3 linked regions of the Oryctolagus cuniculus genome follow. Each later gene encodes a partner of the first gene's protein in a complex. Links are inferred from orthologs where the notes say so. Each region holds a gene or a part of one and is shown in the gene's direction. Other genes may lie near its edges.

Evidence for each region.
Region 2: SMARCC2 (region 1) and PHF10 share a complex: the UniProt entries of both Homo sapiens proteins name them as parts of the neural progenitors-specific chromatin remodeling complex. The link is inferred for Oryctolagus cuniculus from reciprocal best matches to the Homo sapiens genes SMARCC2 and PHF10.
Region 3: SMARCC2 (region 1) and SMARCD2 share a complex: the UniProt entries of both Homo sapiens proteins name them as parts of the BAF complex. The link is inferred for Oryctolagus cuniculus from reciprocal best matches to the Homo sapiens genes SMARCC2 and SMARCD2.

The regions. Positions count from the first base shown.
Region 1 is NC_091442.1:58,970,872-58,974,511, reverse strand, and holds part of SMARCC2 (SWI/SNF complex subunit SMARCC2), read left to right. Parts: intron 1-210; coding exon 211-345; intron 346-1,426; coding exon 1,427-1,808; intron 1,809-2,126; coding exon 2,127-2,552; intron 2,553-3,107; coding exon 3,108-3,184; 3' UTR 3,185-3,640. UniProt on the Homo sapiens protein: Involved in transcriptional activation and repression of select genes by chromatin remodeling (alteration of DNA-nucleosome topology).
Region 2 is NC_091436.1:626,163-629,902, forward strand, and holds the start of PHF10 (PHD finger protein 10), read left to right. Parts: upstream 1-1,538; 5' UTR 1,539-1,773; coding exon 1,774-2,049; intron 2,050-3,740. UniProt on the Homo sapiens protein: Involved in transcription activity regulation by chromatin remodeling. Belongs to the neural progenitors-specific chromatin remodeling complex (npBAF complex) and is required for the proliferation of neural progenitors.
Region 3 is NC_091448.1:14,876,627-14,880,366, forward strand, and holds the start of SMARCD2 (SWI/SNF-related matrix-associated actin-dependent regulator of chromatin subfamily D member 2), read left to right. Parts: upstream 1-899; 5' UTR 900-1,124; coding exon 1,125-1,343; intron 1,344-1,731; exon of another isoform or gene 1,732-2,157; intron 2,158-3,740. UniProt on the Homo sapiens protein: Involved in transcriptional activation and repression of select genes by chromatin remodeling (alteration of DNA-nucleosome topology).

The DNA.
Region 1 (3,640 bases):
GGCCTGTTTCCAGCTCTGTAACCATGTGACTTCGTCTTATCTTTTGCTGCTCTTTTTTAAAAAAAATACCAAGCCAACACTTCTGTGGGTTGTGACCGCAGGGAGTTTGCTCTCACACCTGCCCATGTCTGCCCTGCCTTTCTCCCCTGGGATGTGTGCGGCGGGGTCCTGCTGCTCACAAGCCGTCCCTCCCCCCGCCCCCCCTCCCAGCACTTAGCTGCCGTCGAAGAAAGGAAGATCAAGTCTTTGGTGGCTCTGCTGGTGGAAACTCAGATGAAAAAGTTGGAGATCAAACTCCGGCACTTCGAGGAGCTAGAGACGATCATGGACCGGGAGCGAGAAGCAGTGAGTGGCCTCCCCTAGGGGCTCAGCAGGAGCCTGGAACCCTCCTGGAGACTCAGCTGCCCCTCTGTCCAGGACTGGAGGGGTGTGAGAGAGAAATGGCAGTGCAGAAAGCTTGAGGGCCTGGGCGCCAGCCCTGTGCAGTTAAGGAACAGAGCCCCACCCGTGAAGCCTGGACACTGAGGTCCTAGACTCAGCTCCATGGGCCAGGCATTCCGGTCGTTTTGTTTTGTTTTGTTTTGTTCTTTGCTGCATCTCCAGGTCCCTGAAAAGTGTTTGATCCATAGTTAACTCTCAGTAAATATTTGTTGAATGATTGAATGGGTTGAAGGGGCAATGAGAGTGTAGGGGCTTCAGCTCCAGGATGTTAAATTGGAAAGGGAATGGAAACAAAGTATTGAACCATTTTGTCTTTGAGAGCACCTGAAAAGAAATAGGGACTCTGCCCTCAGAGAACTTACAGTCTAATTAGAAACATCGTATATCCATTATGAAGACAATCAAAGCAGTTAATGATGCCTAAAGTATCTGACAAATTCAAATCACACCACCACCTGTGGCTCATGGTCAAAAGGGCTGCCCAGGAGCAGCCTCAGTTTTGAGCAAGGCAGTTGGGGGAGGGGCTGAGAGGTAGTAGAAATCCAGTAGATTTCAGATCATGTGTGTGAGTCCTGAGAAATGGCACCACAAAGCCCAAGCGCAGGGGCTAGTGACTTGACCTGGGATACTCCCTAAGGACAGTGAGTCGCTAGCCAGTGTTGAAGGAAGAAAACGAATTGACAAGAGGAACTGGAAGCGATTTCCAAATCAAAGTAATGGCAAATTCAAAGCTTTGGAGCTGAAATGAGCCAAGTCTACCATCAGATTAACTCCATTGCAAAGAGAAGCCAGGAGACAATGAAGGTCATGGGAATTTGCAAGAGGTGGGGTGGAGAGGACAGAGGATGCACAAGCACAAAATGTAGATGTTGGGAACCACCAGAATGAGAGGCAAGGTCTTTGAGAAGACGGCAAAGCAGGGGGCGAGGCATTTGCCTAGGGATCTTCTGAAAATCGAGTAACAGTCCTCAATTGGCACTGGCAGCTGGAGTATCAGAGGCAGCAGCTCCTGGCCGACAGACAAGCCTTCCACATGGAGCAGCTAAAGTACGCGGAGATGAGGGCCCGGCAGCAGCACTTCCAACAGATGCACCAACAGCAGCAGCAGCCACCGCCAACCCTGCCCCCAGGTTCCCAGCCTATCCCCCCTACAGGGGCTGCTGGGCCACCCGCAGTCCATGGCTTGGCCGTGGCTCCAGCCTCTGTGGCCCCTGCTCCTGCTGGCAGTGGGGTCCCTCCTGGAAGCTTGGGCCCTTCTGAACAGATTGGGCAGGCAGGGTCAACGGCAGGGCCACAGCAGCAGCAACCAGCTGGAGCCCCCCAGCCTGGGGCAGTCCCACCAGGGGTACCCCCCCCTGGACCCCATGGTAAGTGATGGGTTCCAGAACTCTAGCTGGCTCAAGGGATCCAGGTGAATGTCCCAGTTCCCCTCCAAGGGGACTATGCGGGGGGCCTGGAGATACAGACTGGCCTGTGTTTCTACAGAGGGGCGCACCTCTGTTATGTCCCTAAGCCAGCAGGGGACCCCCCCCAACTCCAAACCCCGATCTTTGGAGTTTTGTTCCAAGGAGTGCAACCACTTATTCCAGTGTCAGGAGAAGGGAAGGTGGCATCAGGGAGCAGCTAGATTATCCTTGCTGTGAGATTTTACGCCTCTAATCTTCACCACTCCTCTTTGTTCCCAGGCCCCTCACCGTTCCCCAACCAACAAACTCCTCCCTCAATGATGCCAGGGGCAGTGCCAGGCAGCGGGCACCCAGGCGTGGCGGGTAATGCTCCTTTGGGTTTGCCTTTTGGCATGCCGCCTCCTCCTCCTCCTGCTCCATCCATCATCCCATTTGGTAGTCTAGCCGACCCCATCAGTATTAACCTTCCCCCTCCTCCTAACCTGCATGGGCATCACCACCATCTCCCGTTCGCCCCGGGCACTCTCCCCCCACCTAACCTGCCTGTGTCCATGGCGAACCCTCTACATCCTAACCTGCCGGCGACCACCACCATGCCATCCTCCTTGCCTCTCGGGCCGGGGCTCGGATCCGCCGCAGCCCAGAGCCCTGCCATTGTGGCAGCTGTTCAGGGCAACCTCCTGCCCAGTGCCAGCCCACTGCCAGGTGAGAAGGGGCCAGGAGGGGAGAAGGGTGAGGGAGAGGGGTCCACAGGGAAGGGGGGAGGGCAGGTGGGGAAGGGGTCAGCTACTAGAGTTTCTGCAGTCAAAGTTTTTTGAACACTGTGGTAAAGTTAGGATGCCGGAGGCAGGGCCTGTCTGGCTGTCCTCCACCATTCCCCAGCCTGGCAGCTGCCGCCTCTGGGATGATGTGGGGGCCTTTCCCTGGTGGGTCTCGGAGGAGTCCTGTGGCACAGAGCATCTCCCTTGTAAACTTGGAAGTCAGCTATTTGTTTGCATGATGATTGGCATCCCTCTGCTCATTCCCATCACATTCAAATGCTCCATTCAGAGTTCCCTTGGGGATAGGTGGCTGATTGGGATCCATGTGTTTCCAGTATGAGGTGGAAGGAGGTGTTGGGAGAGGGGAGTTGTACATCCTAGGTACCTCATCATCCACCACCACTGCATGCCACGGCCGGTCCTGTGCTTATGTGTGGTGGCCTGGCTCTGGAGCCTCTCTCTGCTCACGTGAGCTGATTCCCCTTCCTTTTCTCCACAGACCCAGGCACCCCTCTGCCTCCAGACCCCACAGCCCCGAGCCCAGGCACAGTCACCCCTGTGCCACCTCCACAGTGAGCAGCCAGCCAGACAACTCCCCCTCACCCCCAAGGAGATCACGGTTCCAGGAACAGCCCTCCCCCAACCACTGGGACCCTTCCCCAGCCTGGAGAGTTCATCACTACGTAAGGAAAGCTCCTCCTGCCCTTCCACAGCCCGCGCCGTGCCCTGCAGGGGCATGCGTTTTTATATCAGAGTATCTAAGGACTGTTTCAAAGCTGTTTCTTGTGTCTCTGAGAGGATAGGATGGGAAGGCTGCCTTCAGCAGAAGGGCCGGAAGGTGCTCATCCAGGGTTCTAATTAACCACTTCTAAGGGCGCATCCCCTCAAAACTACTGCATTTTTTTAATGGATTAAAAAAAATTAAGCCCTTTAAAAAGTAGAGAGATTTTAAAAAGCCACATTTGAACTCCCTTCAGTAACCAAGTCTTACATTTTTTAGAGGATGACAATTTCAAGAAAGGGGAACTGAGG
Region 2 (3,740 bases), on another chromosome or scaffold:
TAGCCGGGCAGCTGCCTGTGCGGAGGCCCTAGCCCGGACCCCCGCACTGCACACATGAGTGCCGGCCTGCTCAGTGGGGTGTTTTAAACGTGTCCTTGTTCTAGAGACAGGTACCCACGGGAGAGGACAGAACCAAATACTGGACAGATATCTCCCCCTCTCTTTTGTAAGCTTTAAACCCCGCCAGGAAATCTGAGGGCCCCCATCAGTGACCTCTGGGGGGAAGAAGCGTGGTGGGAACAGGAGATTTTCCTGCTCAGCCTGCGGACACAGGGCTCCCCTCGGGAACTCTGCAAGGGGCGGCAGCTGGTCTGAGCTGGGGGAGCAGAGCAGCTGGGCACCCTCTGGGAGCTGGCATTTGGATTCAGGCGAGGGACACCCAACCCTTCCGTGTGTGTTCCCACATCTGTCAGCGGCGTGTAGCCAGCCGCAGTGACTGACAAGGACGCCACGCACATCGCACTCTAGATGTAAGAACCTCCTCGTGCCCGGAAGCCAGTCCTGGGCATCGGGCAACAGGCGTCTGCCCAGCAATCCACCCGGACTCGTTTCTGGCTCTCATCTCAGCAGCTGTCGGCACGCGCTTTCAAGGTTCTTTCCATTTTCAGTGAAGTCCTAGACGTGACCTTGTGGAGCCAGCGCCCGAGGATCCTAAATCAATTCAGTGCGAATAAAACAGCTCCTTTTTTTGGTTGTCTTCTGGGCCTTCCACTGCACGGCACTTTTACAATCACCCCGCAGCCGGGCTCTCCCCGTTTCACAGCCCCGCCAACGCAGGGAAAACGACGCTGCCAGGCGAGAGTCCCTTCCGGGCCGCGCGGCGCACAGGGCGCTCCCGGCGCGCTCCGACCGCACGTGCTGGCGCGGAGCTCCACCGGGCAGGCCAGGGCGCCCTCCCCGAGGGCCCGCCCGCAGCCCGCAGCCCGCAGCCCGCACCGCGCTGCAGTCCCTGGCCCGCACCGCGCAGCGGACGCAGAACAAAGGCTGCTGACGGCGGCGGCCACGGGCGCGACGCGAGCGACTGCACGCGGGGCCACGGCCACAGCCACAAGCAGGGCGGGGGCGCCGGGACCCCGACACGCGGGGAGGAAGGGGGCGGCCGCGGAGGGGGGAGACCCTCCGCAGGGAGGGGGCGGGACACCAGCAGGCAGGGAGCGAGAGGGCGGAGCAGGGGACCCCTGGCAGGGAGGTGGGGGCGGGGACCCCGGGCTGGATGGGAGGGAGATAGGGGCGGGGACCCCCGGCAGGGAGGGGTTGGGGCGGGACCCCCGGTGGGGAGAGGAGGGGGGGCGGGACCCCCGGCAGGGAGGGTGGTGGGGCGGGACCCCCGGTGGGGCGGGGGGACGGAGGGGCGCGGGTCCTAGCGGGGAGGGAGGGGTTGCGGGAGACCCCCGGGAGAGGGAGCGCGGGGCGGGCGGCGCGGTGGGAGGAGAGGGCTGACGTGTGGAGGGGCCGGGCCGGGGGCCGCGGGGAGGGGGCGGCAGCGAGCGCGCCAAGTGGCGACGAGCCGGGGCGGGGCCGGGGGCCGAGGCGGCGGCGGCGGCGGGCGGAGGTGGGGCGCGCCGCGGGCCGAGGAGGAGGACGCCGGGCCGGCGCGCGGCGGCTGCGAGGGCGCCTGCGGACCGAGCGCGCCTGCGGCGGAGCGCGGCGGGCCGCCGGCTGACGTGGGGCGCGCGGCCCCGCCGCCGCGCGTCCTCCTTCCGGGCCGCAGCCGCGCCGGCCTGCCCGGGCCCTCGGCCGGCCGGCGGGCGGGCGGGCGCGCTGGCGGCGGCCATGGCGGCGGCGCTGGCGGGCCGCGGGGCGCGCGGCGGCAGGGGCCGGCCCCCGGGCGGGCGGGCGGAGGGGGCGGGGCCGGGGCGGCGGGCGGCCCGCGCGGCGGCGGCGGCGGCGGCGGCGGCGGCGGCGGCGGCCGGGACGAGGCGGCGGCGGCGGCGGCGGCGGCGGCGCGGGGCGCTCGGGCTGATGGCGGCGGCGGCCGGGCCCGGGGCGGCGCTGTCCCCGCGGCCGTGCGACAGCGACCCGGCCAGCCCCGGAGCGCAGTCCGCGAAGGTGAGGAGGCGGCGCCGCGGCCCGCCCGGGCGCCGGCGGCGGCCGCTGGGCGCCCCTGGGGAGGGGCGGGCCGGGCCGGGGGCGGAGTCGCGGCCGCTGCCCCGCGCCGCGCTCTCGGAGGGCGGCCGAGAAAGTTGGCCGGGTCCCGAGGGCCGCCTCTGGTGAGAGCCGGCCGGCGCCTGGGGCCGCGGGAGCCCGGTCGGTGGCTTCCCCGCGGCGGACTGCGCGCCCCGCGCCGCAAGTTGGCGTCGTTTGCGGGAAGCTGCAGGCGGGAGTCGGGGACCGTGTGTGACCGCGGAGTCGCGCGCCGGGGCCTCCTGGCGCCGTGGCCCCGGGTGTCCCTGCTGCACTTGTCCTGGGAGTCCCTGCCGAGGGCCTGCCTGGCTCCTGGGGGCTGCGCGCAGGTGCTCCTCCCCCCTCCCCTGCTGCTCACTCCTGGGGGCTGCCCTCAGGTGCCCCCGCCCCCCCAGGCTGCCCTCAGGTGCCCCTCACCCCCCCCAGGTGCCTCTCACCCCCCACCCAGGCTGCCCTCAGGTGCCCCCGCCCCTCCAGGCCCCTCACCCCCCTCCAGGCTGCTCTCAGGTGCCCCTCACCTCCCCAGGCTGCCCTCAGGTGCCCCCGCCCCCACCCCCAGGCTGCCCTCAGGTGCCCCTCACCCTCCCAGGCCCCTCACCCCCCCAGGCTGCCCTCAGGTGCCCCCGCCCCCCCCCCAGGCTGCCCTCAGGTGCCCCTCACCTCCCCAGGCTGCCCTCAGGTGCCCCCGCCCCCACCCCCAGGCTGCCCTCAGGTGCCCCTCACCCTCCCAGGCCCCTCACCCCCCCAGGCTGCCCTCAGGTGCCCCCGCCCCCACCCCCAGGCTGCCCTCAGGTGCCCCTCACCCCCCCAGGCTGCCCTCAGGTGCCCCTCACTCCTCCCCACTGAATCCTGGGGCTGCCCTCAGTGCCCCCCAGGCTGCCCTCAGTGCCCCCCCAGGCTGCCCTCAGGTGCCCCTCACTCCTCCCCGCTGACTCCTGGGGCTGCCCTCGGGTGGCCCTGGCACCCCTCTCCACACATCCCTCGGCTGGCTCACTCGTGTGCTGGGCAGCTGGGACCGGAGCTCTTACACCTGCAGGTGGGAGAGTGACCTGTGACCCGGCCTGTAGCTGGGCAGCAGCTCCAGTTTGGTCCACGGGGGTGGTGTGAGATGTGGACTTCAGCGCAGAGGGGCGGGTGGGGGCCTGCTGCTGCTCCTTCTCTCTGGAGACAGGCGGGCTGCCCAGATGCTTCCTTAGTGTGTGGAGGTCGTGCCCGCTTCCACTCTGGGTGTGAAGTTGTGGCCTGGGCTTTCCTGAGGACTTTCCATTTAAGTTTTGTCTGTTTTGAATGTCTCAGTTTTTTAGCCAACCAAAGGAAATTTCTTAAACAAATTGATATAAGAATTCTTAAAATGCTTTCAAAGCAAGTAAAGTAGAACAAAAGAAAATTAAGTGCTTAAAATGAATTGTCTGAAATGCTGAATATGGAGTGTCACGGTTGTACTTAGTTAAATGTAAAGTTTTAGAAAATAGCTTTTGCCTATTCAGCTCCTACAGGGTTGCCAGTCTTAGACTATAAAGCGCTCTTTAATTGAGTGCTCACTTATAAGGACTGAAAAAGAATGAATTTTGTGTTTTCCCATTTAACAAAGATGCTGGGTAAACTCTTCATAATAA
Region 3 (3,740 bases), on another chromosome or scaffold:
CTACAGAGGTACGAGTGGGAACTAATTTCTAACAGAGGGTTGGAGGACTGCCGCGGCCCCAGTGAGCCATAATCTGCATTTATAATGAGAGCCCGGGTGTGCTGTATGCTCATTAAAGTCTAAGCACTGGTCTATGTCCTGGGGAGACCCCACATGAGGGTGGGGGGCGGGTTAGGAACCTGGCACAGCTGAAGCGTTTATTTGGAATACCTTCTGATACAGGTCAGTAGTACCGAACGTTTGAAGATAAAGTGCTATAAATACTGGAGACAGAACTTGTTTAACTGGGGGGTGGGGGGGCGCTTCTCAGGGCAAATTTCCTTCGCCGAGAACCATTTCCTGTGGAGTCAAGTACCAGGCTTCTTTAAAATGAGACAGAGCCATGTTAAAAATGTGCGATAAGAACCGGGCGCTAGGCCAAGTCAACGGTTCACACAGCTGGCCTGGGCCTGGCGCCGTCCAGGTCAGAGGGCGGCCCCAGGCCGAGTCTTCAACGCTGAACTGTATAAAGACTCAACAGAAGTAGTTTGAGGGGGAGTAGCGGACTAATCCGCTTTAGTGGCTACACCCGAGCTAGCAGAGCCCAGGACCTCGCTGACCTTCGACTTCTGACCCCCCGCCTCACTCGGCACTTCCGTTCGCACTTCCGCTCCCGCCTCTCCGCGAAGGGCGGGCCCACGGGTTGTGGGCGGTACCCTAGGCCGGCGGTTAGGGGCGGTGCCTGCTAGGGGTGCGTCTCGCGAGGGCGGGATTTGAGGAGGCAGTCTCGCATTGGACTGCGAGGGAGGGGCGGGGCCGAGTGCTGCCTGGGTGGGGCGGGGCCGGGAGTTAGTCGCCGCCTTTGGGTAACCGGACTCTGGTGGCCAAACCTCCCGAGGCCGGGGGCGGCAGGCGGGCCCGCAGCCTATCCCGGATCCGGAATCTCCCGGGCCAGGAGCGGAATCGGGGTCGGCCCTGGCCCAGACCAGGCCAGAAAGGAACTCGCGAACTTGGATTAGGAAATCCCGGATCCCGGATCCACAAAGCCCGGAACCCGGAATTAGGATCGGAAAGTCCCGGATCGCGGAGCGCAGCGCGCGGAGCGGACTCGACGCGGAGCCCGGAGGCCGGGACGGGACGGAGCGATGTCGGGCCGTGGCGCGGGCGGGTTCCCGCTGCCCCCGCTGAGCCCTGGCGGCGGCGGCGCCGTGGCAGCCGCCCTGGGAGCGCCGCCTCCCCCGGCGGGACCCGGCATGCTGCCGGGCCCGGCGCTCCGGGGCCCGGGGCCGGCTGGCGGCGTGGGGGGCCCTGGGGCCGCCGCCTTCCGCCCCATGGGCCCCGCGGGCCCCGCGGCGCAGTACCAGGTGAGGAGAGAGGAGCGAGGGCGCCTCGAGTGGGGCCCCTGGGGGAGCCCCCTGGACCGGGGGCGCAGGACTCTGCGGCAGGAGCTCGCTGGGGCCGGGGAGGGCCCGGCGGGGGCCCTCTGGCCGCGGCTCGGTTATGGCGGTGGCGGAGTGCGAGGGGGCTCCGAGGGCTTCCTTGGCGCGGGCGCTGCGAGTAACTGAGCGATGGAGTTGTGGGAGGCGGCGAACCGTGGCCGAGCAGCCCGTGTCCGGGGTTCCCGGGATGTGATGGGAAAGTTTCGGACAAGGCTCCCACCGCGCGACCGGGGTTACCCTGCGTTGGCCTTGGTCCTGTTCCAAGTCTGCCCTGTTTTTTCTCGTTGGGAACTGGCAGGGCTGGAGCATGTCTGAGATGGCTCCCAGCTGCTAAGGAGGCGGCAGGAGGCCTGGCTTCCCACCGCCAGGGAGGCTGAGGTTGGGGCCGGGGGAGTCCAGCCTGTGTGTGCAGGGGCAGACCCAGGAGCTTTTCACTGGATTTGACTCCGGGTTAGACCAGAGGCGGTGGCGAGCCGGCTGGAGGGAGGACCCAGCCCAGTGAGAGACCATCGCGCGCAGACCGTGTCCTGGGCTCTCTGCTTGGCGGCGTCCTGGTGGCGGGAGGTTGAGTGGAGGAGCCGGGCTGGGGCTGCAGGAGTTTGCTTCCCAGCGCTGTCCCGACGCCTGCGGGTTGACGTCCGAGAGAGGCTCACGTTGCAGCGCGAAAGGCCACCGAGAGGCAGAGCCGCGACGGTCCTTACGGCGGGCGTGTGAGCACTCGGTCTGGCCCTGCTGCGGGGTTGGTCTCCCGGTCCGTTATTTTAGGTTGCCCCAAATGCTTAGGAATTATACCTGTCTTTTTTTTTCCCCCTGCCCTCTCCGATTTACTTGGCCTCCGGGTTCTGACAACCCCGCATCCTAACCCATGCACCCTGCGTTTGCCGCTTGCTGGTCTCCCAAGGTCTCTTCCCTCATTGTGTCTCCCAGCCAGGGGTCCCAGAGGGTCCTCAGGGAGTGTCCTCCAGGACCCCCGAGCTCTCACATCCCCGGGCGATGCCTACTGGGGACAGTGAATTTTGTATTCCCTTATTCCCTCTCCTTCGTAAAAGAAAACAGGGTGAGGGTGTGTGCAGAGGGAGACCTGGTCCCAGGGGCCCCGCTGGGGCTCCTCCTCTCCTATCTTGCTCTACTCCCTAGGGGACTCCTGGACTCAGGGTGTGGCTGAGGGGTCCCTGCATCAGTTACTCCAGCCCTCGGGCCTGTTTGCTGAGACCTGGCCCGGGAACCTCTGGGCCTTTGGCCTTGGAGGGACCTGGAACAGACAATGCGGCCCTTGGGAAGAGTGCCCATGCCCCTGAGAGGATGGCAGTGGCCAGGCCTAGCTGCGTGGCTGTGGGCCACTAGGAGTGGCACTGAGGCTGGCTTTCCTGGCCACCACTTTGTCCTCCTCCCCTCCGGAGAGATGGGAAGGGGAACCTGGCCCCCCGGGCTGAGTCAGGTCCCGTTGTGTGACTTCAGGAGAAGGGACTTGAGGGTTCCTGTCTGTCAGCACTCGCAGAGGGAGCTAAGAGCAAGGAGTCGAGGCCCACGCCGGGCAGGTAGGGAGCCTGTGGAAGGAAGGGCTGTGATGCCCCCTCCCTCCAGAGGGGGCCTGGTGGTCACCGCCAGCAGAGAAGCTCAAGGCCAAACCTCGGGTGCTGGCTTTGCTCTAGAGAACTCAGGATGCCCCGCTGACACCCTGAGCAGCAGGGCCACAGCTCAGGGGCGGGGCACCGCGTGCTCACCTGGCGGCTCAGCAGAGGGGCCGGCCTTGGAACAGCTGGTGTGGGGGACGGGTGATGCGGTCACTGCACACTTTCGGGGTTCAGGGGGCCCCACCAGGCCTGCCTCACCCTGTTTCATGTCAGGAGTCAGGGAGGGTGAGAGTTTTGGGCTGTAGGTTGTAGGTCTTTTTTTAGAATTCCTGAGTTGTTTTTTGAAGGGGTTGGAATTACTGGTGCTTCAAAGCCCAGGTGTGGAGCTTGGCAAGGCTGAACTGGGACTCCAGCTGCGAAGCAGCCTTTCCCTGGGGCCCAGGGTGAGCCGGGGGCCCTGAGCCCGGCACGGGACCTGCTCCAGGTCCTGCCTGTGCGCCTTGTCCTTGTCCTGGGACTTCCTGTCTCCGGAGCACCTGCTCAGGAGGGCTAGGTGGTGGTGCAGGCTTGGTGAGCGCCCTAGTGAGTGGCTTTGTGGGGACCGCAGGGCCCTAGCTCGCCCCTGCAATTGCTGCTTGCTCCCTTGTCTCAGGCACTGGAAAAAAAAAAGTTGCAGTCTGGGACATGTGTGGGGCCTGGGCTTACAGCTGCGGCCACATTGAGTGCTGCCCCCTCCCCCCCCATCTCT